Linked DNA regions of Ovis aries. The protein of the gene in region 1 interacts with the protein of each later gene in a pairwise test. Links are inferred from orthologs where the notes say so. Each region holds a gene or a part of one and is shown in the gene's direction. Other genes may lie near its edges.

Evidence for each region.
Region 2: the proteins of ADAMTSL4 (region 1) and CPNE7 interact in binary tests that used the Homo sapiens proteins (3 or more experiments, as listed by UniProt). The two-hybrid records come from large-scale screens. The link is inferred for Ovis aries from reciprocal best matches to the Homo sapiens genes ADAMTSL4 and CPNE7.
Region 3: the proteins of ADAMTSL4 (region 1) and SHFL interact in binary tests that used the Homo sapiens proteins (3 or more experiments, as listed by UniProt). The two-hybrid records come from large-scale screens. The link is inferred for Ovis aries from reciprocal best matches to the Homo sapiens genes ADAMTSL4 and SHFL.
Region 4: the proteins of ADAMTSL4 (region 1) and TOP3B interact in binary tests that used the Homo sapiens proteins (3 or more experiments, as listed by UniProt). The two-hybrid records come from large-scale screens. The link is inferred for Ovis aries from reciprocal best matches to the Homo sapiens genes ADAMTSL4 and TOP3B.
Region 5: the proteins of ADAMTSL4 (region 1) and MAPKBP1 interact in binary tests that used the Homo sapiens proteins (3 or more experiments, as listed by UniProt). The two-hybrid records come from large-scale screens. The link is inferred for Ovis aries from reciprocal best matches to the Homo sapiens genes ADAMTSL4 and MAPKBP1.
Region 6: the proteins of ADAMTSL4 (region 1) and CFAP206 interact in binary tests that used the Homo sapiens proteins (3 or more experiments, as listed by UniProt). The two-hybrid records come from large-scale screens. The link is inferred for Ovis aries from reciprocal best matches to the Homo sapiens genes ADAMTSL4 and CFAP206.
Region 7: the proteins of ADAMTSL4 (region 1) and CREB5 interact in binary tests that used the Homo sapiens proteins (3 or more experiments, as listed by UniProt). The two-hybrid records come from large-scale screens. The link is inferred for Ovis aries from reciprocal best matches to the Homo sapiens genes ADAMTSL4 and CREB5.

What each region holds. Positions count from the first base shown.
Region 1 is NC_056054.1:100,567,559-100,571,661, forward strand, and holds the start of ADAMTSL4 (ADAMTS-like protein 4), read left to right. Parts: upstream 1-1,303; 5' UTR 1,304-1,488; intron 1,489-1,632; exon of another isoform or gene 1,633-1,715; intron 1,716-2,205; exon of another isoform or gene 2,206-2,320; intron 2,321-2,894; exon of another isoform or gene 2,895-3,128; intron 3,129-4,021; 5' UTR 4,022-4,103. UniProt on the Homo sapiens protein: Positive regulation of apoptosis. May facilitate FBN1 microfibril biogenesis.
Region 2 is NC_056067.1:14,056,702-14,060,201, forward strand, and holds part of CPNE7 (copine-7), read left to right. Parts: intron 1-277; coding exon 278-329; intron 330-394; coding exon 395-528; intron 529-3,286; coding exon 3,287-3,500. UniProt on the Homo sapiens protein: Calcium-dependent phospholipid-binding protein that may play a role in calcium-mediated intracellular processes.
Region 3 is NC_056058.1:12,503,770-12,507,805, forward strand, and holds the start of SHFL (shiftless antiviral inhibitor of ribosomal frameshifting protein), read left to right. Parts: upstream 1-1,236; 5' UTR 1,237-1,324; coding exon 1,325-1,345; intron 1,346-1,803; coding exon 1,804-1,927; intron 1,928-2,118; coding exon 2,119-2,168; intron 2,169-3,538; coding exon 3,539-3,577; intron 3,578-3,719; coding exon 3,720-3,869; intron 3,870-4,036.
Region 4 is NC_056070.1:71,999,476-72,002,975, forward strand, and holds part of TOP3B (DNA topoisomerase 3-beta-1), read left to right. Parts: coding exon 1-82; intron 83-212; coding exon 213-369; intron 370-930; coding exon 931-1,044; intron 1,045-2,272; coding exon 2,273-2,363; intron 2,364-2,610; coding exon 2,611-2,765; intron 2,766-2,861; coding exon 2,862-2,967; intron 2,968-3,336; coding exon 3,337-3,483; intron 3,484-3,500. UniProt on the Homo sapiens protein: Releases the supercoiling and torsional tension of DNA introduced during the DNA replication and transcription by transiently cleaving and rejoining one strand of the DNA duplex.
Region 5 is NC_056060.1:35,423,443-35,426,942, forward strand, and holds part of MAPKBP1 (mitogen-activated protein kinase-binding protein 1), read left to right. Parts: intron 1-393; coding exon 394-583; intron 584-1,139; coding exon 1,140-1,286; intron 1,287-1,479; coding exon 1,480-1,655; intron 1,656-2,438; coding exon 2,439-2,530; intron 2,531-2,795; coding exon 2,796-2,921; intron 2,922-3,500. UniProt on the Homo sapiens protein: Negative regulator of NOD2 function. It down-regulates NOD2-induced processes such as activation of NF-kappa-B signaling, IL8 secretion and antibacterial response. Involved in JNK signaling pathway.
Region 6 is NC_056061.1:49,878,284-49,882,215, reverse strand, and holds the start of CFAP206 (cilia- and flagella-associated protein 206), read left to right. Parts: upstream 1-1,132; 5' UTR 1,133-1,493; intron 1,494-3,477; exon of another isoform or gene 3,478-3,479; 5' UTR 3,480-3,480; coding exon 3,481-3,588; intron 3,589-3,932. UniProt on the Homo sapiens protein: Essential for sperm motility and is involved in the regulation of the beating frequency of motile cilia on the epithelial cells of the respiratory tract. Required for the establishment of radial spokes in sperm flagella.
Region 7 is NC_056057.1:69,306,015-69,310,093, reverse strand, and holds the start of CREB5 (cyclic AMP-responsive element-binding protein 5), read left to right. Parts: upstream 1-1,279; 5' UTR 1,280-1,335; intron 1,336-4,079. UniProt on the Homo sapiens protein: Binds to the cAMP response element and activates transcription.

The sequences.
Region 1 (4,103 bases):
AAAAAAAAAGTCAGAAAGCAGGCCTGGGCACCTGGGACTCATCTGTTTGTTCTGTTTCATTCCAAATATTTCTATTAACTCTACAAATACAAAAACCAAAACAGAAATACAAAAGATGAAAAAACAGAGATGACACAAAGTGGCCTAAATGGTCCTTGTCTTGAGAAAACTTAGGGGTTTATTGAAATAATAATAAATCATAATAAAATTATAATTTTATAATATAAATTATATAACTTATAAATTATAATAAAATATAGATATTGAACTTCAAATAAGGATATAATACTTATACTTAAAAGCATTTTATGTTTTCACTTCCCTCATCTCTTGAGACAACATTTGCTTCTGTTGAGTCCAGTACTTACCTCCCAAGTCTGTCTCCAACTAGACCCAACTCCTTAAGGCCAGAGGCTGTTCTAACTGTGCCCTCCACACCAAGTGCAGAAAGTGCTCAATAAGTATTAGGTGGGAACACCTGATACCCTGCTACTGAATATCCTGGTTTTAAAATATTGACAAGTCACTGGAAAAAAATAAATAAATAAAACCTTTCAAATGCTTGAGAGTAGACCCAACAGTACATGACTGTAGTTCATGAAAAAATGGCAAATAAAACTTTTAAAATAGTGGTGACAAGAAAAATAATGACTTTATCTACTCTGTCATTTTACGTGTATTATTTATTTCTTTACCATAAAAAACAGATAATGCCTGTGGTTAAACATTCAAAAACATATAAGCATACAGAGTAAAAAAGTGAAAGCTTATATTTTTATTTTCCTCTCCCAACCCCTCCCCAGCTGCTGCCCCCAGTTCCGAGTTTGGGATGTATTCTTCCTGATCTAAGTAACTAGGCAGACATATCTCCAAGCCTATTCGTGTATGTCAGGTTAACCCCATTTTACAGATGAGGAAACTGCAGCACAGAAAGGTTGAAGCATTCATCCAAGATCACAGAGGGAGATTCAAATCCAGATCCTCTGATTCCTAAATCAGCGCATTCCTTGCGCTACGCCCCGTAGGTAACATTTATGGATGAAGAAACCGAGGCTTAGAGGGTCCCTGAGCAGTCAGAACCACATGGTTCACAGTCCAATTTAGGAGAAGCAGGGATAACTGGGCTTGCACGGGAGGCTGCGTGATGGAGAGGGCCCTGACCAACGTGGAATCGAGGTCAGGCTTGACCATCTCCCAGCCCAGCAACGCCCCAATGTGGGGCGCGGGGCTCGCCCACGCCGCTCGGGTACCGGCGCCACCAACCCCTTGGCGCCCCTCGCGGCCGCTCCGCCCGGGCTGGCGCAGCGCTCGCACCGCCCACTCAGAGCCGGTCGGGAGACCGCGGTCCCGGAGACCCGAGCCCCAGCCGGGTCGAGGGACAGCCCTGGCGCGATGGCTCCCTCGGAACCCGGCTGGGACCTCCTCGGCCTCGCCCCCTGGAGCGGTCGGCAGGTGCCGGGCGGGAGCGGCCAAGGCCCGCAGCCCAGGGTGGGTGGCCCTGGCGGGCTGGGGATTCGGGGGCCGCCGGGGGGCTGCCGCCGGGCGCGTGGCGGGCGGGCTGGCGGGGCGGGGCGGGGCGGGGCGGGGGCGGAGCCGCGGCCGGAGGCGGCCGTAGCCCGGCCCAGGGGCCGCAGTGGCTGCCGCGGAGCGAGGCTGCCTGGAGGGAGCGCCCGGGCGCAGAGGGGTTAGCTGGCCGCCGGGGCCGCGCAGAGCAGGTACAGATCTTCCCTGGGACCCCTGGCCCCGGTCGCCCTCTCTCCCCCGTCTGGTTAGACCATCCGCCCCACGCCGCCGCGCCGTCCGGGTTCTCCGAGCCCCGCGGTCGCGCCCCAGCCACGACCCCGGCCCCAGTTCTTATAGCCTCGGAAGATCTTCCAGTCCCTGGGGTCCAATTCCTGGGGAGGGGGCTCTGATCTCTTGGAACGCTGGCCCCATCACTCGGACGAAGAATCAGCCAAAATTCCTACACAGAATAAAACTGGAAAACACACCCAGGAGCTCCCGGCACGCGCCGGGCACCTCCTGCCCTTCCCCTCTGGAACGGTATTTCTGGATGATGCGTTCCTCCCCCATCCCCCCAACCCTGTCATCCGCTTCCGTCCTGGGTTGGGGGGCACAGACGCTGGGAGGGTTACAAGTGGGTGCCCCGAATCCAGCTCAGCCTGACGACTAGAAAGGCAGGACACCTGTTGGGTGGGCCTCCAGGACCCAGGAGTGGCACAAGGAGGACCAAGGAGTTCTCGCCCAAGACAAGGACTCTGCAGCCAGCCCTGGAGCCCTGGACCCACCCCCTGCCCCTCAGTGCCACTGTTCCCCAGAGGTAGGTCTCTTGGGGTTAGTGAAGCGGTTAGTTCTGCCCAGGTCACTCCTCCTTGATCTCCACTGGCCAGTGTGGAGTTGTGGCAGGGAGGAGCCCAGGTTTGTCTAGACCAGTGTCAGCCGGGCCCAAGAATGGCCAGTTCTGTCTGACCTCTCCTTTCTTCACTCTGGACAGTGAGGCTCACCAGATGAGAAACGGAAAACATGAAAAGACTGAAAACCACAAATGTGTATCTGTTTCTGCAGCGTTTGTGTGTGCCTGTGTGTGCATGTGTCGGCCCCCTGCCCAGCTATGCGGGGGGTGGGGTAGGACTTTTCCAGAGAGGGAGCCAGGCCTGGCCCTGGCCCCAGGAGCTCACGTCACCCCACCCCCCACCCCTCACTTCTCCAGGGAGCTGCCAAAGCCAAACCCAGCTCAGGACAGGATTATGTGTACTGGGTAGACCCATAGAGAGAGACAGCTAGACACAGGCCTGGGGTAGCAGAGAGAAGCAGAGGCAGAGGAAGTGGAGAGGGGACCCAGCAGCAAGAAGTGGCAGTGACCAGCCTCCCATCTCCTTCTCTTCAACCACCAGGAAGGGAGTCAGGCTGAAAGCTGAAGGTTTGGGTGGAATGTTGGCCCTTCTCTGGAGCCCCTACCCGCCTCCTCATCAGGGCGGAGTTGCTGACCTCAGTGGTCAGCCCAGCCAAGGGAAGGAGCAGCCATCAGCAACCCCCTTCACAACCCCAAGTAGCTGAGGAGACCGTTCGGGCACAGGCCCCGCCACTGTGATCCTTCTCAACATCCCAAGCGCTGGGGTCTCAGGGAGGTGAGGGGGAATGGATTTGCTACCTCCAAGCACATTCCTGCCCTTCCCTCTGTCATTTTCCTGCCCCTGAGCTGGCCCACCTCAGCATTAGCTCCTTGGATTCCTCTCCCGGGTGCCTTTCAGATCCAACAGAAACATTTTTTTTTTTTTCCTGGAAAGCAGAGCTCAGAGCAGCATGAAGAGTGGGGGTGGGAAGGGTTCATTGTGAAGGGACTGGAGGGCCAGGGGGAGCCATGGGAGAGCCAGGCTTAGACCAGGGGAGGGTTCCAAGCTCCACTTCTCCAGTGATCAAGCTGAGACTGCAGGATGGACTTCCTGGCTCTTCAGAAGATAGACCCATGAGTGACTGGGGACCAATAGCCTCTCTAGCTGTATCTCCCCTCCCCAGCTTCCCCCAGCCATCAGAGTCTTGCCTGAAGGAAGGCCTCATTGATCCAATGCCAGAGGCTGGCCCCTAGAGGGAAGTTAAATATCACTGGGGAAAATCACCTGCTTCTCTAGAGATAAACCATCAGCCCATTTAGTTTATCCCTTGGCTGCAAAGTTTGAGATAGGCACAGTTGTGTCAAGTGTTCCAGAAGGAGCTTATTAGGTAAGAAGGCAAGAAAAGGCTGAGAAGCAGGTGGGAATGGAAAGCCCAGGGGGCTTCCAGTCAGCAGCTCAGAGAGGATGTCTGAAAAGTCCTCACTGAACCTCCCTCCTCAACCCTCTTAAGAAAGATGCATGTGTCTGAGCTGGCCTAGAGACAGTCGCTGTTTAGGACACAGGAGCTGAGAAGTTCCTGAAGCTGAAGGAGGGGACTGCGCCTGAGCTGGGAGGCTGAGGGCAGACCTCCACCCCTTCAGCTTGGGTAGATGGACAAAGGCAGTGCTCCTTTTCCCTCTCACCTTTAGGATCATTAAGGGATGGACCAATCTTCACCCCTCCATTCTCACTCTGAGTTGTCCTTCTGAGAAGTCATCCCTCCCAATCCCC
Region 2 (3,500 bases), on another chromosome or scaffold:
GGAGAAGGGGGACATTCGCCTGGAATTTTCCGTTTAGAAAGGGTGTTTGACTGGCTTGAGCAGAAAGTTTGGGGGTTGGGGAATTATTGGCTAATACATCTCAGAAGCTCCGGGTCCCACTGGAGCCAGGGTTGGCCTTCTGCCCTCTGTCCCCAGTGACCCCCTTCCACAAAGGATGTGTCACATGGTGGCCCTGGGGGCTCAAAACCTACCTCTCTCAGTAGTTGGGGTGGGGGATGCTAGGAGGTGGATCCGCTGACCGGTCCCTTCTGCCCAGGTGTCCCATGACTTTGCCATCAATTTCAACCCCGAAGACGATGAGTGCGAAGGTAGGAGCGTGAATGGCCCGTGGTGGGGGTGCGCTGGGGCCGTGCTCACACCCCGCCCCCCACAGGGATCCAGGGTGTGGTGGAGGCCTACCAGAACTGCCTGCCCAGGGTCCAGCTCTACGGCCCCACCAACGTGGCGCCCATCATCTCCAAGGTGGCCCGCACAGCCGCGGCCGAGGAGCGCACCCGTGAGGCCTCTGTAGGTGCCCAGTACCAGGGGGGGTGTGTGAGGAAGGGCTGGCCTCTGGGGAAGAGGGAAGGGTCAGGTCGGGCGGGGCCGGTGGGCGGGGCCGGGAGGCCGAGGGAGGGAAGAGGGGCGGGAAACAGGAATGCCGGGTGTCTGGACCAAGTGAGGCCGGGCGTGGACTCGCCTCGAGGGCCCCAGAGCCAGTGAGTTGAGCGCTGCTCTCTGCCGAGGAGATTCTCGCCCTGGAGGCTGATCTGCTGTCTGTGGTTCTATTATACATGTATTGTTATTTTGTTTGCATGGTCTTTTTTTTTTTGGCTGCACTGTGTTAGCTTGTGGGAATTTAGTTCCCCTACCAGGGATTGAACCCAGGCCCGGGGAAGTGAAAGTGCCCAGTCCTGATTCACTGGACTGCCGGGGAAATCCTTCTTCTTAATTTGCACAAGTGGTGAGACGCTAAAGGCTGCCTCCTGCATTAGGGTTCTGTAGACCTGCCTGAGGCACGCCGATGACTCAGTTGGCTTCTTTTAATCTTTTATTCTGAAAACAAAAAAAAAGAATAGTCAACTTTATGGAAGAATAACCCAACGCCTTTGGCCCATCCTTTCCCTGGACTCACTGGTCAGCAACTTCTGCCCTGTTACCTCCTCCTACTTCTCTTCCTCCCCTGCCCCCATCTACACACTGGTCCTTTCTTCCCTTTGAATCTCTTGAGAGCAGGCTGCTGGCCTCCTGAACCCCACTTCCCCCACCAAGTTCTTGGTGTTGATCTGCTCACAAGATCCTGTACAGTACAGCTCTGCAGTCTCACATCGAAGGCGACCCCCTCCTCTTGTCTCACCCCAGCCTCCATCTGTCCCCATGTGTCCATGTTCCTCACCGTCCCAGGACCTGTCCTTCCCATGTTCTGGTCTCCTGATCTATTTTTTCCCCTTTGTTTTTCTGTGCCCCATGGCATGTGGGATCTTAGTTCCCTGACCAGGGACTGAACCTGCGCACCCTGCAGTGGAAGTCCACTGCACCCCCAGGGAAGTCCCTGTGGTGGGACGAGGCTGTTGCTCTCAGCCTTGCTCCATCCTTGGGACTTGCCATCGCCCAGTCCCTGAGTGGGGGTGGCTCTCCCAGGCACACAGCCCCCAAAGGCAGAGTCACAGTGTCGCCTCCCACCCCTTCTTTCCTCAGATCCAGGCGTTCTCTTCTACAGTCACTGCACAGGTATCAGTTTCAGGTGGTTTAATTTAGATCCAATACTTTATATAATATGCTCCAAGTTCATTAATTGCCAAAAAAACAATAATTTTATCACAATATTATTTCTGGTGTAGAATCCAGCCTGGAGTTAAGGATTACATTCAGCTTTCATGTTCTTGTATTGTTTTAAAGCAAGTTTTAGACACATAATTTCATCTGTAAATATCAGTATAAACCTCTGAAAGAGGTACAGTAGGCTCCCATTATCACACCTAAAGACAACGTCAGTTCCCGAGCATTAAGTGTCCAGCCATCCCGTCCACACCATGGTGGATTTTCCAGGAGGCACAGGGTTAAGATAAGGGGCTGGGCCTGACAGTGTGTGTGGCCATCCTGCTGGGGACCCCTGCCTTCTCCTGTGGGGTCCTCTTGCCACCCCCTTGTTAAAGAGATCAGCATGTGCCTACAGTAGGGCCCCCGGCTGGAGTCTGCTGACCATGCCCTTGTGGTAGCCTTCGTGTCCGTCTGATTCCTCTGGGAGGGGTTAAACTCTGGGGGCCTCAGGTCTGCCTCTGTCCTTGCTGGGGCTCAGACCCTTCGTCTTAGCTGCGCGAGGTGGATGTGGGTGGAGGCTGGGCGGCATCTGGGACCCCCTTCCCTGAGCCTCTTCTTGAATTTTGCCCTCACCTGCCTTCCTGTCCTGCGGAGAAGCCCTGTCCCTTCTGGCTGACGCCTACCGGGGCCCCGACTGCAGTGGTCCCTGGGTTCAGGTGACGCTTCCGTCGCAGGCGGTGATGGTGTGGTGTTTGCACTGCTGGCAGACCCAGGGCTGTGAGGTCTCAGTGGGGTGCTGCCCCTACTCTGGGGGTGGGAGGAGGCTGTGTGGGGCTCAGGGCTGGGCCAGGCACTGTGGGAATCCACCAGCCCTGGACAGGAGACTGCCCATCCCCCTGGTCTGGGGGCTCAGAGGGGGTCCCTGGGAGAGGGTGCCCACTCGGCCAGAGCTGGGCAGGCTAGGGGATAGTCTGGCCGGCCTTCCAGTGCTGGCGCTCCAGGGTGATTTTTGCAGCTCTTCTGTGTTTTCTCTCACCCAGATTTTTAGTAATGATTGCTGAGTGGTTTTGTTTTTTTTCACTGTGGAAATGGACCTTTATTTGAAACAAGCCCCAGTCTGTCATGCGCAGACACACTAGGCACCTGGCCAAGCTGGGCCAGAGTGTGTTGTTTGAAATCTCAGCGTCTCTTCAGGGTGTGGGAGCCCCTCCCCGCCCAGGGCTGATGATCCCTTCTCTGGCCTCAGACCTGGGTCAACCCCGGCTCCCCTAGCCTCACTGTCCCCACCTGTAAGGTGTGGCTGTATCCACCTCCGGTTAGAGGGAGCACATGGTCACAGCTCACTGTGATTCCATGTGTGTGTGTGCACCTGTGTACATGTGGTACGCTTCTGCGAATACGTTTTTAGAAAAGCTTGGCACCGTGGTCACCCCCAGGCGGTCTGGTTGGTGGACTTGGGGTTCGACTGGGGGAGGTACAGCGGCCCTGCAGGGTCCCCACAGCCCCTCCTCCCCTGTGCCCCCAGCAATACTACATTCTGCTGATTCTGACGGACGGTGTGGTGACCGACATGGCAGACACACGTGAGGCCATCGTGCGCGCCTCCCACCTGCCCATGTCCATCATCATTGTCGGGGTGGGCAACGCCGACTTCACCGACATGCAGGTGCTAGACGGCGACGACGGTGTCCTGCGCTCCCCACGCGGCGAGCCCGCCCTCCGCGACATCGTGCAATTTG
Region 3 (4,036 bases), on another chromosome or scaffold:
TCCACATCTTTACTGATGGAGGTTAAACAATTTGAGGGGTGTCATTTATCCTAACACAATTTTGCCACCCCCAGGGAACATTTGGCAACGTCTGGAGACATTTTCAGTTACCACGACTGGGGCAAGAGTGCCACAGGCATCTAGCGGATTGAAGCCAGGGATGCTGCTAAATATCCTACAATGCACAGGGCAGGCCTCCAGAATCACCCAGCCCTAAATGCCAATAGCGTTGAGGTTGAGAAGCCCTGGCTTAAAGCGCTAGTCACTTTTTTCTGGGGTCTTTGCACCCAAAGCTGTTCCATCCCGCACTCCGATCTTCTGACTGCTGAGACCTCGGTCTTCCGGACTCCTCCAAGAAGCCATTTTTTTCTTTTTTTAAAGAAACCATTTCTGATGCCGCCAGGCAGGGCTCTTCCAGCCCCCTCGCCCACCCCCCACCCCCCATGCTGGGTTAAAATCGTCCTGATCCCTCGGGGTTCTCAATCTTCCGTTTTTCAGCGCAAATTCCCTGGAACCCCTAGACAGACCGATTCTGCAAGACTGTGAGGAACCAGGAATCCGTATTTTTAACGAGCATCTTCTCCCCACCACAACTGCCTGCTTCTTAATATCTTGCACATAGTAGGTGGCCCAGTGACTAGTTGAATGTCTACAGCATGGCAGGCGCTACTAAATACTCGACCTGGGGATCTCGAATCCTGCACCTGCGCGCGCGCGCGCACAGGCATGAGCGCGCGCGAGCACACACACCCGTCCCCAGGATGTAGCCACTATCATCATCCCCACTTTACAGCGAAGTAAACTGAGGTTCAGAGAGAAGACATAGCCGGATAAGACACTCAGAGCGAGACAGGGGTCTAGATCCTCATTAGCGCCTGATTCCGGGTGGAGGGAGGGGACCGAGCGATGAACAGGGGAGCGCGAACAGGCGGGGGCACGGAGACTCGCCGCGGCCTTCAGATGCGGCCCCGCCCCCACGAGGGACGTGAAGACGCGGACCCCGCGCAGCGTGGGGACATGTGACCGACTGCAGAGGCCGCGCCGCTTCCCCCGCCCGAGTTCTGCGCGCTCCGCCGCAGGGTGCAGATCCGGGGCGCCCGCCTGGGTTTGGGGCGCAAGAGCAGAGGCGGAGCCAGGGCGGAGCCAGCCCTCCCCGTCCACCCCCCCGTTCCCAAACGAAAGCGAAACGGAGCGCAGGAAAGGAAGGGCGGAGCCGGCCTGGAGGCCCCGCCCCCTGCCCTGCGCGGCCGGACCGACGGGCGCGCCCAGGTAGGGGGCCGCCGAGCGCGCAGTGCGGACCCTCGCGGGGACCTACGCCGCCACCATGTCTCAAGAAGGTGTGGAGGTAGGAGATGGCTACAACTGGGCCGGTGGCCCGCGAGAGATGCTGAGGAGGAGCTAGGGGCACGGAGCGGGCTTCGCAGTTGCTGGGGACTCCATCCAAGCCCAGACCTTCCCCCCAAGGCTGGCACTCGTCTCCCTCGGAAAGGAGAGTGACCGCCACATGCCCCGGAGCAAAATGCGGCCTCCTCGAGGGAAAGCGGGGGCTGCTGGGTCAAGGGTCAGAGGCCAGGGGTCATCTGGCCGGCCTCATCCCTTAGCCTGGGACGCTCGCCCTAGTCCGCTCCCTCCCCCAGTACTCTGTGGGGACTTTGGCTTTTTCCAGGAAATGCAGTAGAGGGATGGGGGGGGGGGGTGCGAAGGCCAAAACCCGGGGTCAAGTTCGGGCCGTGAAAAAAGGAAGCCTAGGGATGGAGGAAGGGCAATTGCGCTTTTCCTTCCCCCACCGGTCCCCTACCCCAGCTGGAGAAAAGCGTCCGGCGCCTCCGGGAGAAGTTTCATGGAAAGGTATCCTCCAAGAAGGCAGGGACTCTGATGAGGAAATTTGGCAGCGACCACACTGGAGTGGGGCGCTCCATCGTGTATGGTGAGCAGGTGGGGGTCCTGCCTGGTGAGAGTTAAGCTGGGGAGCAGGGAGGGGGTGTGGTCTGTGCTGGGGGCTGGAAGAGGCGATGAGATCATCTCTTTGGGGGGCGGTCTGGATCGGGGTTCTGGGGGCCCTGAAATTCCCACAAAACCTTTCAAGGGGCCTTCACTTACACTTACTCTCCCCACCAGGGGTAAAGCAGAAGGATGGACAGGAACTGAGTAATGATCTGGACACCCAGGTAAACTGCCCCCTCCCCTCAAAACACGTGGTAAGGGAAGGAAGAAGGGAAGGGTCAGGCTCATCCCTGGCAGAGCTCTTTCTGTGCACTGTCCATCCACAACTCATGGTCTAGCCTCATTCACTTACCTCTCAGTTATGGATCTGACCAAGGAGCCTGCAAACCATAGGTGCTCATTACATGCTGATTGTATGAAATGGAGAGAGACAAGAAACTAGGCAGTGAAAAGAATCCGGATTATCATCATTACAGAGGAGCCAAAGAGGTCAGGGAAGGCTTCCTGGAGGAGGTGGTACCACATTCTTCAAGCCTAGGGAGGAGTGATCCCTGGGAAGGGGAGGGGTTGGAGATCTTCCTGGAAGAGAGGGTGACCTGAGCAGAGGAACTTGCAGACAGGTTGGGACGAGTAAGAGATAGGGGAGGAAAGAGGGGCAGGGAAGCCCATGTAAATGAATGACTAAAGCAATGAATGAATGAGAGCCTTTGTATGGCCACTTTGCCCCTTAGATGGCCTTGGTAGCTGGTGCACTGGTTTGCCTGTCTGAAAGGGCCCAGCACAGAGCTGTTAAAGAGTATAATAAAGTATGTTTTATACTTGTAACATTTATATATTTACAGTTATACATATAATGAGTATAATAAAACTAGCAAAGAGTATCATTGATTGAGCACTTTCCCTGCAACAGGACTCCAGGAATTCTGTTGACTTATTGCCACAGGTCCTGTGAGACAAGTCCTATTATTTATCATATCCACTTGACAGATGAGGAAACTGAGACACAGGGTGATGAAGTCACTCACCAGGCTCATGCTGAATGCAGGTGGTGACTGGGATTTGAACCCAGGTCACCTAGAGTCAGAACCTGGACTCCTAGATGTCCTTCATTAGGGAGAGTGGCTTGGCCACGACCCCACAGCTGGAAGTGATGAGGCCAGGATTCCAACCTGTGGCTCTCTGAATCCAGAGCTCAAGCACTTAGCCTAAAGCAGCATAGCCTCAAACAGGTGACCTGTCACAATGCCAGCAAGTGTGTGGCATTTGCCAGCATGAAGGGAGCATGGGGCCCAGGCCTGTTGCCCACACTCACTCAGGGTAATCTCAGGCAAGCCCTCTCAGAGCTCTGGGCCTCAGTTTCCCCATCTGAGCAATGAGGATCACAGGTGTGCCCACCTCTCAGGGTTGCTATGAGGACAACTGAGGTCACACACCCTTGCCCTCAGGAAGTGGAAACTGCTCAATTAACTCCTCTTGAGTTGGGGACACCTTACTCATATGGGGCCAGAACCCTGCCTCCCCATCCAGAAGCCCTGCCCCCAGAAAAGAGGCATGAGCCACCTCCCCAGTTTCTACCCCTGATGTTTCCACCCAGGACCCCCCAGAGGACATGAAGCAGGACCAGGACATCCAGGTGAGTCCAGGGTGTGGGATGGGGAGGTGGAGCGGTGTGCACACCCCTGGGGGTATCCATACGTGAGAAGGAGGGACAGGATAGGGGTTTGGAAGAGAAGAGGACTGACCGCCCTCTTGGCCCCGCCCACCCCATTCTGCAGGCGGTGGCGACATCCCTCCTGCCACTGACAGAAGACAATCTACGCATGTTCCAGCGTGCCCAGGAAGACCTCATCCCTGCCGTGGACCGGCAGTTCGCCTGCTCCTCCTGTGACCATGTCTGGTGGCGCCGCGTGCCCCAGCGGAAAGAGGTGATAACCCAATCCCTGACCTTGGTTCTGTCCCGGCTCTGCTCCCAACCCCCATTCTGTGTCCAAACCAACTGACCTAAGAACATCAGCCTCTGAGACCCCAACCCCGGACACCTGCAGCCTCAGAGATCAACCCCAATCTCAGCCCCAACGCTGACCTACTGAGC
Region 4 (3,500 bases), on another chromosome or scaffold:
TGGGCGAGCCCGACCACAACGAGGCGCTCTCGGTGGATGCGCGGCAGGAGCTGGACCTCCGCATCGGCTGCGCCTTCACGAGGTGCCCCTGCCCCACCAGGCCCAACCAGAGACGGGAGACTGTCCGCCTTCTCGGCCCCTGAGACAGCTGTCTCGCCGAAGCGCGAGGGTGCCTGACCAAAGCGTCCTCATCTCCCTGACCCCCTTCACAGGTTCCAGACTAAATACTTCCAAGGGAAATACGGCAACCTGGACAGCTCGCTCATCTCCTTTGGGCCGTGCCAGACCCCCACGCTGGGGTTCTGTGTGGAAAGGCATGACAAGATCCAGTCCTTCAAACCGGAGACCTACTGGGTGCTGCAGGCCAAGGTCCGCGGCCTTTTCCCGTTCGCACTGGGGCTTGCTGGGCTTGGGTGTAGCGTCTGAGCACCTCCACTGTCGTCGTCCCCAGGCCCAGGGCACGGGTGTGGGCCGCCGTCCCACCGTGGGTGCGGGAGAGGGCCGTCCAGCGCAGGCCAAGGTCCGCGGCCGGGGCGATCGGGTCCAGGGACTGCACTGAGGGCCGTGGGCCACTGGCCTTCCAGCTCCTAAAAAGCCTTGGAACATGTTTTCCAAGTGAGATGAAGGTTCTCCTAAGGCTCCGAGTATGACTCGGGGCCGCTGCACTCCACACAGGGCTGGGGTCCCCTGTGGGGGCGCTGCAACGCCCCTGCGGACAGCTCAGCCTTGGCGCTGGGCTCCTGTCCTGAGACTGCCTCCCTCATCTCAGCAGAAGGCCTCTGCCAGAGCAGCCTGTGCTAGGGGAGGGGCTGGGCTGCGCCCCTGAACAGCCTCGGCCGTGAGCCCTTCCAGCCAGGCCAGGCTCCAGCTGCCTGGCCTCTCCTCGCGGGCGGTGGCTCACCCCGCCTCTGCTCCTGGGCCCTCCCGCAGGTGGACGTCGACAAGGACCGCTCCCTCCTCCTGGACTGGGACCGCGTCCGCGTGTTCGACCGGGAGGTCGCACAGATGTTCCTGAACATGACCAGGCTCGAGGAGGAGGCCCAGGTGCGCTGCTCGGGGCTGCGGGGGCCTCTGCTGACCAGGGTGCAGGGCTCCCTCTGTCTCTCTGGAACACAGACACCTTTTAGAGAGAAGACTAGTTGCTCCCACACACGCCCCCACCACGGTCCTGCCCCGCCCCCCAGGCTGGGACCGCCACACAGCTGCCTGCCCTGACTGGTGAACATGCCCTGCGGGTACCCCCTTGCTCGGGGGCTCCCGCCCCACTGTCCGCCCTCGGTGGCACGTCCAGCTGGAGGCCCCTGTGCCCGTCGAGAGCCTGCCCAGGGCCCACAGCCGGCTCGGCCACTCCGGGCCGATGGCTCTCCTGGCTCCCCTGCCACGCTCCCCACTCGGGTCTCAGGAATTGGAGGCGTGGCTGCGTGGCTGGTAGGCAGAGGTTGGTGCCACGTGCCAGGGGGCGGGCCACATGGGACTGGCAGGTCCACGGCCACGGCAGCTTGTGCCCTGCAGTCGTGCCTTCATGGGTCCCTCTTGCCCAGTGCAGCTGATTCAGGCACTGGAGCTGCTTCTAAAGCTGCCCCACGCTTCTGCCTGTGACGGCCACCGCATCTGGGCCTCCCCGTCGTGATCCCAGGCTCCACTGCTGCGTCTGTCCAGAGCTCGGGGTGTGGCCCTGGCCGGGTGCACGTGGGGTCGGCAGGGGTGAGCATGGCAGTTGAGAAGCCTGGGCTGCTTCTGCCGTAGGCAGGATGCTCACCTCTTCAACAGCCGTTCAGCCCAGAGGCTGAGCTGGTTGCTCACCTCGCTTTTCCGCGAGTGGGAGCTTTTCACTGAAGTTCCTCCTGGTGACCCACAGTTAGAAGTTAGGAGATTTTACAGAAAAAGTTCCAACTTCCCGCTTTTCCTGATGAATCAGAAGGTGTAGCTACACTTGCGGGCACCATGAGAAGCAAGCAGCTGCCCCTGCGATGGGCCCTCACCCCAGGACCCCCGCCTTCTCTGCAGATGGAGATGCTGGCTCCCAGCGGGCTCCCAACGTGCAGCCCCTTCTCCTGACTCCTCCCTTCCTCCAGGTTTTCTCTCCCGAAAAAAAGTCTCTAGAATTCCCTTTCGTTTTCCTTTCTTGGGCCTGAACAAACGTTCATTCGCGTCGTGAGGCCGCTGTAACGGGAGCTAGAGCAGCCCGGAGGACGAGTGAGAGTCAGACCCTCCGGGCTCCTCTCGTGCCTGCCCGCCCTGTCCGCCCTGCCCTGACCCCTCCCACCCCCAGGTGGAGGCCACAAGCAGGAAGGAGAAGGCCAAGCAGCGGCCCCTGGCCCTGAACACTGTGGAGATGCTGCGTGTGGCCAGCTCTGCCTTGGGTAAGTGCGGGCGCTGTTCCTCTCTCAGGGCCCCATGACTTGGAAGCACAGGCTGCCTGGCTGTAGGAAGGCATGGTTGCCGCCAGGCAAGGGGCCGGCCCTGTCTCGAGAGCCACGCCGGTCATCTGCGCCTGCCCTGCTGGGGGAGTTTGGCCTTGGGCCAGCGGACAAGGGCACTGGCCTCCCAGGAGCCTGAGCATCTCGCCTGGGGCACCCGGTGTCGGCGCTGAGCCCGCATCTCTGGCAGGAATGGGCCCGCAGCACGCCATGCAGACTGCCGAGCGGCTGTACACGCAGGGCTACATCAGCTACCCGCGCACCGAGACCACCCACTACCCCGAGAGCTTCGACCTGAAGGGGCCCCTGCGGCAGCAGGCCAACCACCCCTACTGGGCTGACACGGTGAGCTGCGCCAGGCCAGGGCAGCAGCCGCACTCCCTGCGAGGGCCGGGGGCCAAGCCTGGCTCACGCCCCGCTCCGTCCCGGCTGCCCCCGCAGGTGAAGCGGCTCTTAGCAGAAGGTCTCAACCGCCCACGGAAAGGTCACGATGCTGGTGACCATCCCCCCATCACCCCCATGAAGTCTGCCACGGAGGCTGAGTTAGGTATGGGGGCTCCCCCAGACTGGCACACCCCCTGGCACACACACAGAAGCACGCACGCACGCGTGCATCAAGCTTCACAAGAGAGCAGGGTGAGGCACGCTGGTAACCCGATCTCTGGAGGGTCAGGCCCCACGGCAGCGTGGGGCTGTCTGAAAGCTGTGCTCCATTGCTGGGCCGGGACAGGAGTGAGGTGGTGACGGGGGCAGGTGCTGCCTCGGGAGGCCCTGGGGCGGAAGGCCAGGCGGGGCCGGGTGACAGGCTCAGCGGTGGGGAGTCCCGGGGGCTGGGCGCAGGGGCCCCAGTGCCGTAGCAGGAGCGTGGGGCTGCCTGGAGCTGGAGCCTGGCGCTGAGTGGCCGCGCCCGTGGCAGGGGGCGAGGCCTGGCGCCTCTATGAGTACATCACCCGGCACTTCATTGCCACCGTGAGCCACGACTGCAAGTACCTGCAGAGCAGTGTCTCCTTCCGGATTGGGCCTGAGCGCTTCACCTGCACGGGCAAGACCGTCATCTCCCCAGGTAGGGGCGGCGGGCGG
Region 5 (3,500 bases), on another chromosome or scaffold:
AAAGGAATAGCAGTCAGTCCTGAAAGATGGGAAACGGTGATGATCGGTCTTCTCTGTGGCTGGGACAGTAATCTTGTTTTTATCTGTCTTGGAACCACTGCAGAGGGGCTTGTTTTTGTTTCACTCCATCGTGGCCGCAGTCACCTCGTCTGCTGTTGGTGTTCTGAGCCCTGGTCCGTGCTTGTCAGGAGAGCATGCTGGTCTGGCAGCAGGGGCGGCTCCCAGCTGAGAGCTGTCAGAGCAGCGCTTTCCTCTCAAGCAGCTGCTTCCAAACCTGTGGGTCTGAAGAGGGCTCCCGTGCTCTGCTCCTTCCTCTGTGGCTTGGCTTCTGTTTTCATTCCCTCATTTCCATAGCTCCTCACTCACCGCTTTGCACTGTCTTCTTCCCCACAGTCGCCTCTTCTCTGGAGCGGCCAATGCCAGATATCCAGACACCATCGCCTTGACCTTCGATCCTACTAATCAGTGGCTGTCCTGTGTGTACAATGACCACAGCATTTATGTTTGGGATGTGAGGGACCCCAAGAAAGTGGGCAAGGTGTATTCGGCTCTGTATCATTCCTCCTGCGTCTGGAGTGTGGAGGTAGGTGGCCTGGCTCGGACACATTGTGGGGATGGAGAGTGAGGATCCCCAAGTAGAACACTGTGTTCCTGCTCCCTCCTCCTTTCTTCAGCAGCAGCCCTGTGTATCCACGTACCCCCAGATGGGTCCTGGGGACCGATCCTGAATTTTAGTACTTAAATGTCTCAGGCTTCTTCCAATGGGCCCCTGTCCATCCTTAGCTCTGCCTTGTCCTGGGCTGGATGATCTTGAACAAGTTACTGAACTTACCTGAGTTTTGTTTTCTCAGTGGTAAAATGATGTACCTAATTCATCTAATTGTTTTAAGAATTAAGTGAAAAACTGTGAGTGGAGTATTTCATAGTAAGCATAGCAGAGTACCTTGTCTTTGGTGAATGTGCTTTCCCTCAGCGATCTGAAGAATATCTAATAGTTGCAGTTTGCTTATCATGTGACAGACTCTGGGCTAAGCCTTGGCCAACAACAGCTCCTTAGTCTCGTTCCCTTCTGTCTCCGTGGGCTGGCAGGCAACTGCTGCCTACCTGGAGCTCTGACTTTCTACCCTCTGCCCCTTCAGGTCTACCCCGAAGTGAAGGACAGTAACCAGGCCTGCCTACCCCCCAGTTCCTTTATCACCTGTTCCTCCGACAACACTATCCGCCTGTGGAACACAGAGAGCTCCGGGGTGCATGGCTCCACGCTGCACCGGAACATCCTCAGCAATGTGAGCCTGGGCCCCTCCATGCTGAGCACCTGTGTTCCCTTGCCTTCTCAGGAACTGGGTCCCCAGACTTGATCTCCGAGTTCTTATGTGGCCTTCCCCTGCAAGTCATGGCTTTGTCTTGTCCAGCATTCCTCTCCTCTCCCCTGTACTGATCAGACCTGTCTTACCCACTTCTCCTGACCTGCTCCTCCAGGACCTCATTAAGATCATCTATGTGGATGGGAACACTCAGGCCCTGCTGGACACTGAGCTGCCCGGGGGAGACAAAGCTGATGGGTCCCTGATGGATCCCCGCGTGGGCATTCGTTCTGTGTGTATCAGCCCCAATGGACAGCATCTCGCTTCAGGGGACCGTGTGGGCACACTCAGGTAAAGCCAGCTCTGGCATGGGTACCACCTGCCTCTGGTGGTGTGGGTTGGGGGGAGTTAGGTCCCCAAGGACAGAGCTTTTGAAAATCTTGGCTCAAAAAGATTGGGAAAAAGATATTCATATACAAGGGAAAGATAATTATAGTAAAAAAAACCAGCAGAAACCATTCTAATCAAGTAATCAGGCTTACATTCTCATATCAACATCATAAACCCCATAATACAATGCTCTACAAAAGGACATCGCAGTTTTTCTGTGGTATTCTTGCCAAAATTGCAGAAACTCGGTCCCATCATGAGAAAACATCAGACTAACTCAAATTGAGGTACATGTGACCGAGCACCTGCACTAATCAGTACTCTTCCCAAGTGTCAGGATTACGAAAGGGAAGCAAAGACGGAAGAATTGTTACAGACAGGACACGCAGGAGAAATAATAACTCAGTGCAGTTGGACTCTGGATAGGATCCTAGATCCAGAAAAGAGGACATTGTGGGAAAACTGGTGGAATTCAAGTAGAGCCTTTAGGCCCTGGTATTGTACTGATGTAAGCTTCCTTGTTCTGGTAAGTGGACTGTTGTTACGTAAGACGATTACATTAGGGAAAGCTGAGTAAGGGGAATATGGAAGCTCTCTGTACTTATTTCAACTTTTCTCTAACCTGAAAGTTCAAAAATAAATTTTAAAAAAGGTCAGGAGAGAGGATGTAACAGAGAAAGCAGAGTGAGTCTGTCTTCCTGCAGCCCGGCAGTGACCTCCTCCCGCCTCTCCTTATCTCTTCAGGGTGCACGAACTGCAGTCCCTGAATGAGATGCTGAAGGTGGAGGCCCATGACTCGGAAATCCTGTGCCTGGAGTACTCTAAGCCGGACACAGGTGAAGAGGATGTCTGGTACCCATGCCAGAGGCTTAGGGCTCCTCTAGTCCCGCTAGTGCCGCTTACATCAATCCTGGTTGTTGGATGTGGGACTGAAAATCCTTTGAATCATTTGGTGTCTTTGCAGATTTAGAGGAGGGCAGCTCTGCCTCTTCTCCATGGTTGCCTTGGCTTAGGGATATGGGGCTCAGTTCTTGTTAGCTGGGCCCAGATAGGGGCCTGCTCTAGGCACACATGGGCTGATGAAGTTTTTCCAACCCACAGGTCTGAAGCTCCTAGCATCAGCAAGCCGGGACCGGCTGATCCACGTGTTGGATGCTGGACGGGAGTACAGCCTACAGCAGACACTGGACGAGCATTCATCCTCCATCACTGCTGTGAAGTTTGCAGGTAGTGGCAGGGCAATTGGGATACATTCTGCCACCTACGACTGACACCCCCTGCCCCCTGTGTTCTGCCTCCATGAGAAGGGTGTGCCAGTCGCGGGGAGTGTAGGACTCCCTGCCAGCTGGCTGGCTTGGGACTAGATGGGAAAACAGATGAAATATGGACTCTTAGTATGGGGGATACTTATCAACCAGGCTTGATGAGGATGGGGAGAAAGGAGGGCCTGGATTTGAAGAGAAGCATCCTGATTTAGATCTTCTCTGGGACTCAAACGGTAAAGAATCTGCTTGCAATGCAGGGACCCAGGTTTCATCCCTGGGTCAGGAAGATCCCCTGGAGAAGGGAATGGCAACCTACTCCAGTATTCTTGCCTAAAGAATCCTATGGACAGAGGCGCCTGGTGGGCTACAGTCCACGGAGTCAAAAAGAGTCAGACAGGACTGAAGGAATAACACTTTCACTTTTCACTTCATCCTGATTTAATGGGTGGTCCCAGCCGTGTTGAGTAGCTCACAGAGGGAAAGTGTTGAGGGAGGCAGAGGGCAGACTGGACCCGTCGTGGTGAGAGCAGTGGGAACAGCT
Region 6 (3,932 bases), on another chromosome or scaffold:
CAGTCCATAGGGTCATACAGAGTCAGACACAGCTGAAGCAACTTAGCATGCATGCACACTAATGAACTTAAGAAGCTTGCTGTTTTTGTGTCAGGAAACTCAAATTTTGCTTTTTTTCTGGCTCTTCATATCTGTGCCCATGTAACTAACTCTAAAGAGGAATCTCTCTAAGGAAGATGATTAAGAAATGATCTTGTGAATCTTGACTGAAAGGATGTGGGAAAGCAGACTAAAAATAGTTAATGCTTTTTCTAAGGGAACCTTCAGTAAGAATGACTTGCATTGTCTTCCTTGGGCAATGGTTTCTTTTTCATCATTACTCTGAAAATTCAGCTACCCACTCCATCATCAAGCATTTCTGTGGAGAAGGAAGGTTAAACTGGAAAAGTAAATTGTCAGCTAATTCTTAGACTATGGCTTCCTCCATTTCAAAACTGGTAAACCATACATATTACATAGACTAACATGATGGTTTGTGTTTAAAAAAAAAAAAAGCCAACTGTTGCATAGTGCATGGATAATAATAGAGAACATGAGTGAGATAGGTGAAAAGCACGAGATCTGAATTTTTATTTTAACTTTGAGGATTTCTGGAAACCAGGATGCAGCTCTATTTTAATGATCTATATAGCCCAAAAGCATAACCCAAAGTGGAGAATTCTCCATTATTGTGCCTTTTCTTTTTTTATTATGAGATATATACAGAAAAGGTTAATGTAACATATGCACCATTGAATAGTTATAAAGTGAACATCCATATAAATACTATTCAGATGCATTAGAGATTCTTAATCATGAGTCTACTGATACTTGCAGAGAATTTGCCCATATCTCCTTTTTTCTTTTTTTTTTAACACTGCATAAGTTTCCACGCTGCTAAGTTAATACGGTTGTTTAAGAAATCTAGTTTTTTACATCCTTTAGCTCACTGAGGTGTAGTGAACCTGTCTTCTCTCTGGGCTTTGGGTCTCTCTATATCTCGTCTTTTTTTTTTTTTTTTTTTTAAGTTATCCTCGCCCATCCCTTCCAGTAAAGGCTCTTTTGGACCCAGCCACGCCTCCCCACCTTGGCTCTACCCACGCCCAGGTCCCGCCCCTTTCGGGCCCTAGAGTTTGGTCTCCATGGTTACGCCGAGAGTTCTGGGCTGCCGTGAAAGCCCCAGGGAAGAATTGGGTAGACCCGGCTCAGGCTCTTCACTACAGCCAAGGTCAGCCCAGCCTGGGCTCCACGCCCTTGATCCGGAGTGTACCTCGCGAGGAGGCGAGCATGGGTCAGCGGACGGAGCCTGGGCCGCGGGAGCATGTCGTCTAAACTGGTTCAGGCGAAACTGACAGTAAGGACTCTTCAGGCCCCGCCGCTGAGCGTAAAGAGCTGTCGCTTCCGGTCGGAGGCTCACAGGTCCCCAGGTCAGATCGCTAACGCGTGCTGCTCACCGCTGTTCGGCACTGCTCGCTGCCCCGCCGGCCAGAACTCGGGAGGTTTAGGCTGAAGCGGTGGGTGTGGGGAGGGTCGGGGGGCGGGGACTGAGGAGAACCCGGAGAGACCTGTACCGGGTGCCCGACGGCGCACGCGCACACGCGCGGCTTATATTCATTGAGCAGGCGTTTGTTAGTTACCAGCTGCTGGTTTGATGCTCTTACTTTCTGCCAACGCTATGTTAACCACTAAGTATATAGACTGGGAAAGGAGTACGTCAAGGCTGTATATTGTCACCCTGCTTATTTAACGTATATGCGGAGTACATCTTGCGAAATGCCCGTCTGGATAAAGCACAAGCTGGAATCAGGATTGCTGGGAGAAATATCAATAACCACAGATACACAAATGACACCACCCTAATGGCGGAAAGTGAAGAGGAACTAAAGAGCCTCTTGATGAAAGTGAGAGAGGAGAGTGAAAAAGTTAGTTTAAAACTCAACATTCAGAAAACTAAGATCTTGGCATCTGGTCCCCTCACTTCATGGCAGATAGATGGGGAAACAATGGAAACAGTGACAGGCTTTATATTCTTGGGCTCCAAAATCACTGCAGATGGTGACTGTAGCCATGAAATTAAAAGATGCTTGCTCCTTGGGAGAAAAGCAATGACCAATCTAGACAGCATATTGAAAAGCAGAGACATTACTTTGCCAGCAAAGGTCTGTCTAGTCAAAGCTATGGTTTTTCCAGTAGTCATGTATGGATGTGAGAGTTGGACTATAAAGAAAGCTAAGCGCCGATGAATTGATGCTTTTGAAATGTGGTGTTGGCGAAGGTTCTTGAGAGTTCCTTGGACTGAAAGGAAATCAAACCAGTCAATCCTAAGGGAAATCAACCCTGAATATCCATTGGAAGGACTGATGTTGAAGCTGAAACTCCAATACTTTGGCCACCTGATGAAAAGACCCTGATGCTGGGAAAGATTAAACGCGGGAGGAAAAGGGGAGGACAGAGGATGAGATGGTTGGATGGCATCACCGACTCAATGGGCATGAGTTTGAGTAAACTCCAGGAGTTAGTGATGGACAGGGAGGCCTGGCGTGCTGCAGTCCATGGGGCCGCAAAGAATCGGACACAACTGAGTGACTGAACTGAACTGAATTGATATAGAACTCAGTCCTCAGGACAGCTCCAGAGACAGAGTAGTAGTCGGGTTTATACTTTTCAGATGAGAAAATCACTTCAAAGAGAAGTTAGAGAAATGGCCAAGGTTTCAGCTAGAAAACGGGGCACGATGGAAACCAGGCTCTCTGGTTCTCCTGGACTAGATGCCAGGTGTTGTTAACCTTACCTGAACCCTAATATGCTGAAAGTGATCTTTACCTACCTGGGATTGCCTTTGTTATTCTCTGCATGCTAATTTCCCCTGTGCTTAGATCGGAAAACCTGATCACTATTAAAACCTACCACCTTTTCACCAGGAGTTCTTTTTTTTCCCCCATGATCCATGACTCGTTATATGTTTTGCTTTTTTTTTTGCTTTTATGCTTTTAATCAAGAGTATAAACCTTCACTTGGATGTGCAAGAAATAGAATTTTGATGATTCGAGCAAGAATTGTGTTCCAAGAGTCTCTGATAATTATGAAAGGTCATTTAGTGAATGTGATGAAATAAGCATGTTCTGTTTCAAGCTGACTTTGCCACCTACATAGTGGAATTTCTCACTAATTCTACTCCTACACCCATCCTCCATCTCTAATACTGTTTAACATTTTTTTAAATTAAAAAATATCATGTTATAGGGGTACTTTTGATGACCACCATCATTTAAATAAAGAGGAAATGTTTCAGTCATTAAGTCCCAATTACTCTCACTGTTATCATTAGTCCTTCATTTTTATAAATATGAAACCAACTAATGAAAAACAAGAGGGGCCTTATATACTAGTAAATATTATTAAGTTAATAAATAATATGACTCTTTACAAATATATTAGTGGTGAAATCTCAAAAGGAAAAACTAATATATAAATACAATTTAAAAAATCTTTTTATTTAGAATGCCTCCCACTCAGGCTGAAAGTGTTATAAAGAATATCATTAGAGAAATAGGACAAGAATGTGCAGCCCATGGAGAGATTGTTCCTGAAACTCTGGTTGCTTTTATGGTAAGAATAAATATTTTTGTGAATTACTGCTTTATTAAAAATTTTTTTTCAGCAGTGCCTATCTTGCTCTTAGAATTCTGTGATGTTCTCTTAACTTGTTGCATTGAAAACCTATGGCGATTGGTAGACAAATTGTGTCTGTGTGTGCTCAGTCGTGTCCAGCTCTTTGCAACTGCATGGACTGTAGCCTGCGAAGCTCCTCTGTCCATGGGATTTTTCCAGGCAAAAATACTGTTTGTTTGTTTTTTAAGTCTATAAAGCATGTTAGTTCTAGATTTAAGAGACTGATCTAGAAGATCTCAAAGAATCTTAGAAACATCAATAATGTTTTTCCTGTGTTGTAA
Region 7 (4,079 bases), on another chromosome or scaffold:
GAAAACAGGATTTGGGGTGGTGCCAGTGCCACCACTTACTCAAGCAGCTTCAGGCCAGCTCCCTAACCTTGTGGATTTTGCCTTGGCTCACCTGTAAAATGGGGATAATGATAACGCTTGCCCTCCTTGTGCTGGTTGTGAGAATCAAGGGAGTTCCACGTGGGTGTGAAGGCTTTGTACACTGTGAGCTGCGGCAGGGATGACAGTGGTGGTCTGGGGTGGCTAGGATCCACTGGAAATTACTCTATGCCTTCTCTATGAGTCTGGCTCACTGAAAGAACATCTGAATGGAAGTCAAGCCGAGGATAGTGATGGGGAGGGTGTCTTGGCTGATCCTGAAAGCTCCAGGCTCCTTCTCTCCCGGAGCTGTGGGGAAGGTACTGCAGACCAGGGGCTCTTTCCCTCCCTTTGGCTCCTGCTCTGCCACTTGTCAGCCGGGGAGCTTGGGCAAGTTACAGACGAGGCTCTGGAATGATCGCCAACGGCCCTTCCGGCTCTGACGCTGAGTCTAAATCAGGCTCATCACTTGGCTCTAGCCGTGATACACCTTTCCCTTCCAGGAGTAACTCTTTTTCCAGCTCTTAGACTCGAGAAGCAGGGGTCTTGGAAAGGGTGGGGGCAGTGTATTCCACATGAGTTTGCACAATAAAGAAGTTATTTCCTTGGAAGTGAGCTGGAGAGGGGCGGGGGCGGGAGGTGAAAAGGGGTGTCCAGTGAGTGCTCTGAAAAGCCAGGATGCAGGGAACACTGTAATGAGGTCATGACTGTCGCAGCAAAACGGAGCTGGACATCTGCTGGTGGGGGAAGGGGGAGCGTCCCGCATTTCTGTTCGGAGACAGTCTCTTCCCTGCGCTCTTCGGCACCCCTCTCCACCTCGCCCCATCCCCACACCTTTTTAAATGCTACCAGGCCCTACTCACGGGAGGGCCCGTGTCCCTGCCTCCTCCGTGGTCCTTTCTGAAACCTTGAGGATTGTTTCCAAGCTGACTCACACCACTAAAGTCAGGGAGCCGTGTCACACGGCGCTGGGCTCTGCAAGCTGTTGCTTGCGCGGTCGCCGCTGCCGCCGCCGCTTCCCCGCGGGTGCACCAGGGTCCGCTCGTGGCGCGGGAGCGGGGCGGGGCTGGGGCGGAGCCCGCCCCCTCGGCGCGACGGCCCCGCCCCTCCCTTCCTCCCTCCCCCACGGACCGCAATGATTTAGAAGTTCAGGAATCCCACGTGACGTCACCGGGGGGGTGATGTAATGCACTCTAAATAGAATGTATTGTAATCTTTGCTCAGTCCAACGTGGTCCCTTCACCCGGGCTCTGCTCTTGCCTTCTCCACACTTGTTTGGTAAGTTCCTAAAAATACGGCTAGGCCACTTCTGGGGCTTTTGCATTTAGTCACTTTTGTTGCACTTGCCGCGGGAGCCGTCTCGGGAGTGTAGTTGTTTGCAGGGGTTGGTTCTCGGCAGCAGCCGCGAGGTTACTTGGTCCAGTGGGCAGGTCGCAGGGCAAGGAGTAGGGAAGATGCGATGCATTTTCTTTTTGGAGGATGATCTGTGTTTGTAAACACTTTGACGGACCAGAGGGAAGTCAGGCCCCAAATACTGGTGGATTGTGGAATCAGCCGTGTCCTGAGGCTACCCCAGAGACCCCACGCCGTGTCCGTCCCGGAGCGCGTCTTGGTGGCCGCCGCGCCGTGCGACTGGAGGGATGCTAACGTGGAGCGAGCGCCGTGTCCGCCCCAGCGTGCGTGCGTGTGTAGGAGCGCGCGTGTGTTTCCCTGACACGGGGAACAGTTATGAATCGGGGGTGTGTGTTTGCCTCCAGAGACCTGGCAAGGTGCGGAACCCTCCAGAAGTGCGGTCAAGCGGCGGCAGAGGCGGCAGCAGCGGAGACGGCGAGACAGGAACCTCCCCCCCGCGTCCCCAACTTCCCTGTGATGCGGCGGAACCCCCGGAGAAAGTTTGCAAACTTCCAGCGGGCGCGGCGAGGACGCCGGGTCACCTAGGGGGCGGACGGGCGGGCGCACTGGGGGCTAGCTCCCTCCCGGGCCCCAAGCCTGCTGCTGCCACCTTTTGCAGGGCTGCCCACCGCAGGTGGTGGGCGCGCGCGCCAGGGAATGAGGGGGCCATCACCCTCGGAGGGCACTTGCCTTTCACTGCAGGCGTGGAAGGCTCGACAGTGGCGAGGCTCTCCTCGTCTTCACTCCTGCAGCCGCCTCTTGCCTCTGTCCGGTTCTCGTTGGCATCGTTACCTCTTCCCCGCCGCTGCCCCAAATGACAGCTCCCGCCTTCGACGCGGCTGCAGTTCTCAGAGCACGGCGGCGGAGCCTTCCTCTCCACCAGATTCTCCACGGAATAACTCAAAACTTTTCACGACGTTCTTAGAGGGGCAAGACTCACGAAGGAACCAAGGAGATGTTTTCTCCCGGCGGCTGCATCCCGCTTTTCCTTTGCCACAGATTTATTTCTGGGGTGGGGGTTGAGTATCTGGTAGATAAAGATCTTGTCCACCCTAACTTTCCCTGAACAAGTGCCGCCCCCACTTGAGACTTGTTCAAGGCCTGGAACTGAAGTGGGCTACTTGTATATTTCGTTGTCAGAGTCTACAGAGTGTTTGATTTTTATTTTTCCCTCCTTCTCTGACATGTGTCAAGGAATAAAGGCTGGATACAGGTCCATTACGTCATTCTGCAGACCAATAAGTGTTTGATTAACAGCTTCAGATACTCAAGGGTTGGGGGCCTTAGAAGTGCTGACAAGGCAAGGCTTTCCATCCCCAACCCCCAACATACTCGTACAATCTCTGATTCCCTGGGCATCGTTATTGCCCTCTCCTCCCGGATCCCTCCTTCTCCACCCGCTCTACCGCCCACACCGTTATCACTCTGGCCCCGCCTCCGCCTTTGACTGCTTTCCCTGGGGCGATCACAGTCCCTGGAGTGTGGGTGAGAGCTTCTGGTGGCTGAGGGAGCGCAGTACCTGATCGACGCACACACAATCTGCCCTTTTCTATTATTTAAGAAAGGCACCAGTGAACCCTCTTCTCCAGGGCAAACTGCTCAACTCTGATAGAAAAGGCGTCTCAGGAAATGTTTAGAGACACTATGATAGTACCGTGTCCCTGTGGTGACTTAGGAAAACAACACACTCACTGTTAAGCAAAGTACTTAATTTTACACAGCGCCTTCCTCAGACAGACCGGTTTTCCGAAGAGGGATGGCTGAGGGTGCTGACTAAATCAAATTTGGCTGGAAGGCTCGAGATTAAACGTTTCATTTCCAAAGTGAGGGAATGTAAGTCGTTGAACTCAAAATATCGTACAATAGAGTGGTGCATGGGTTACTTTTTTTCTCTTAACATTAACTTTCTGTATTTAAATAGAAAGTTAAATACGTACGTCATTGAATTGAGTCAGAATCCCCGTTTCTGGCAGTTGAATAAAAATACTGTATATGACATGTTTAAGGGATAAAAGTAAAAAGAACTCCGGGTGGGGTGGGGGTGGGGCTGCAGTGTAGCAGAAATTAAATAAAAGATTTCTTAACAGGCTTTTGAATAGAGGGGGTGCAGAAGAGCTGAGTGCTCTCTGGTTTGAAGCTGGTGAAAGCTAAATACAGGAAAATTTATATTCTGAGTATGTGGGAATTTCTTGAAGAACACATGTTTTGTTATAATCAGATCTACTTTCTTCAGAGTGAAAGCCATGCTGTAGAGTAGGCATTTGTGAAACTCATGTCTGGAGTCTAATTGACATCATTCCCCAAGTTTGTGGCAGTATTTATTATTTATTCACATCTAGAGATGAAATAGTATGACCCCACACACAATACATGTGCATCTGAAATGTTAAAACTTCTTGTTTGTGATGCATACATAGACCTAAAGGGGAAAATGGCCCGGGTCACCAGCACTGGAGAGTGTGATTAATGATCAGTGATTTAGTGATCAGTGATTAGTGGTTTTATTCAAACTGTTACCTCTGACCAGAAGCACACATCAGAGGATTAACAGGCTCTTTAGATAAATGCTCATTAGTGGAAGGGGAAAAGCACAGATAATAGGCATGCACCCAGGGACAACTTTCGAAGAA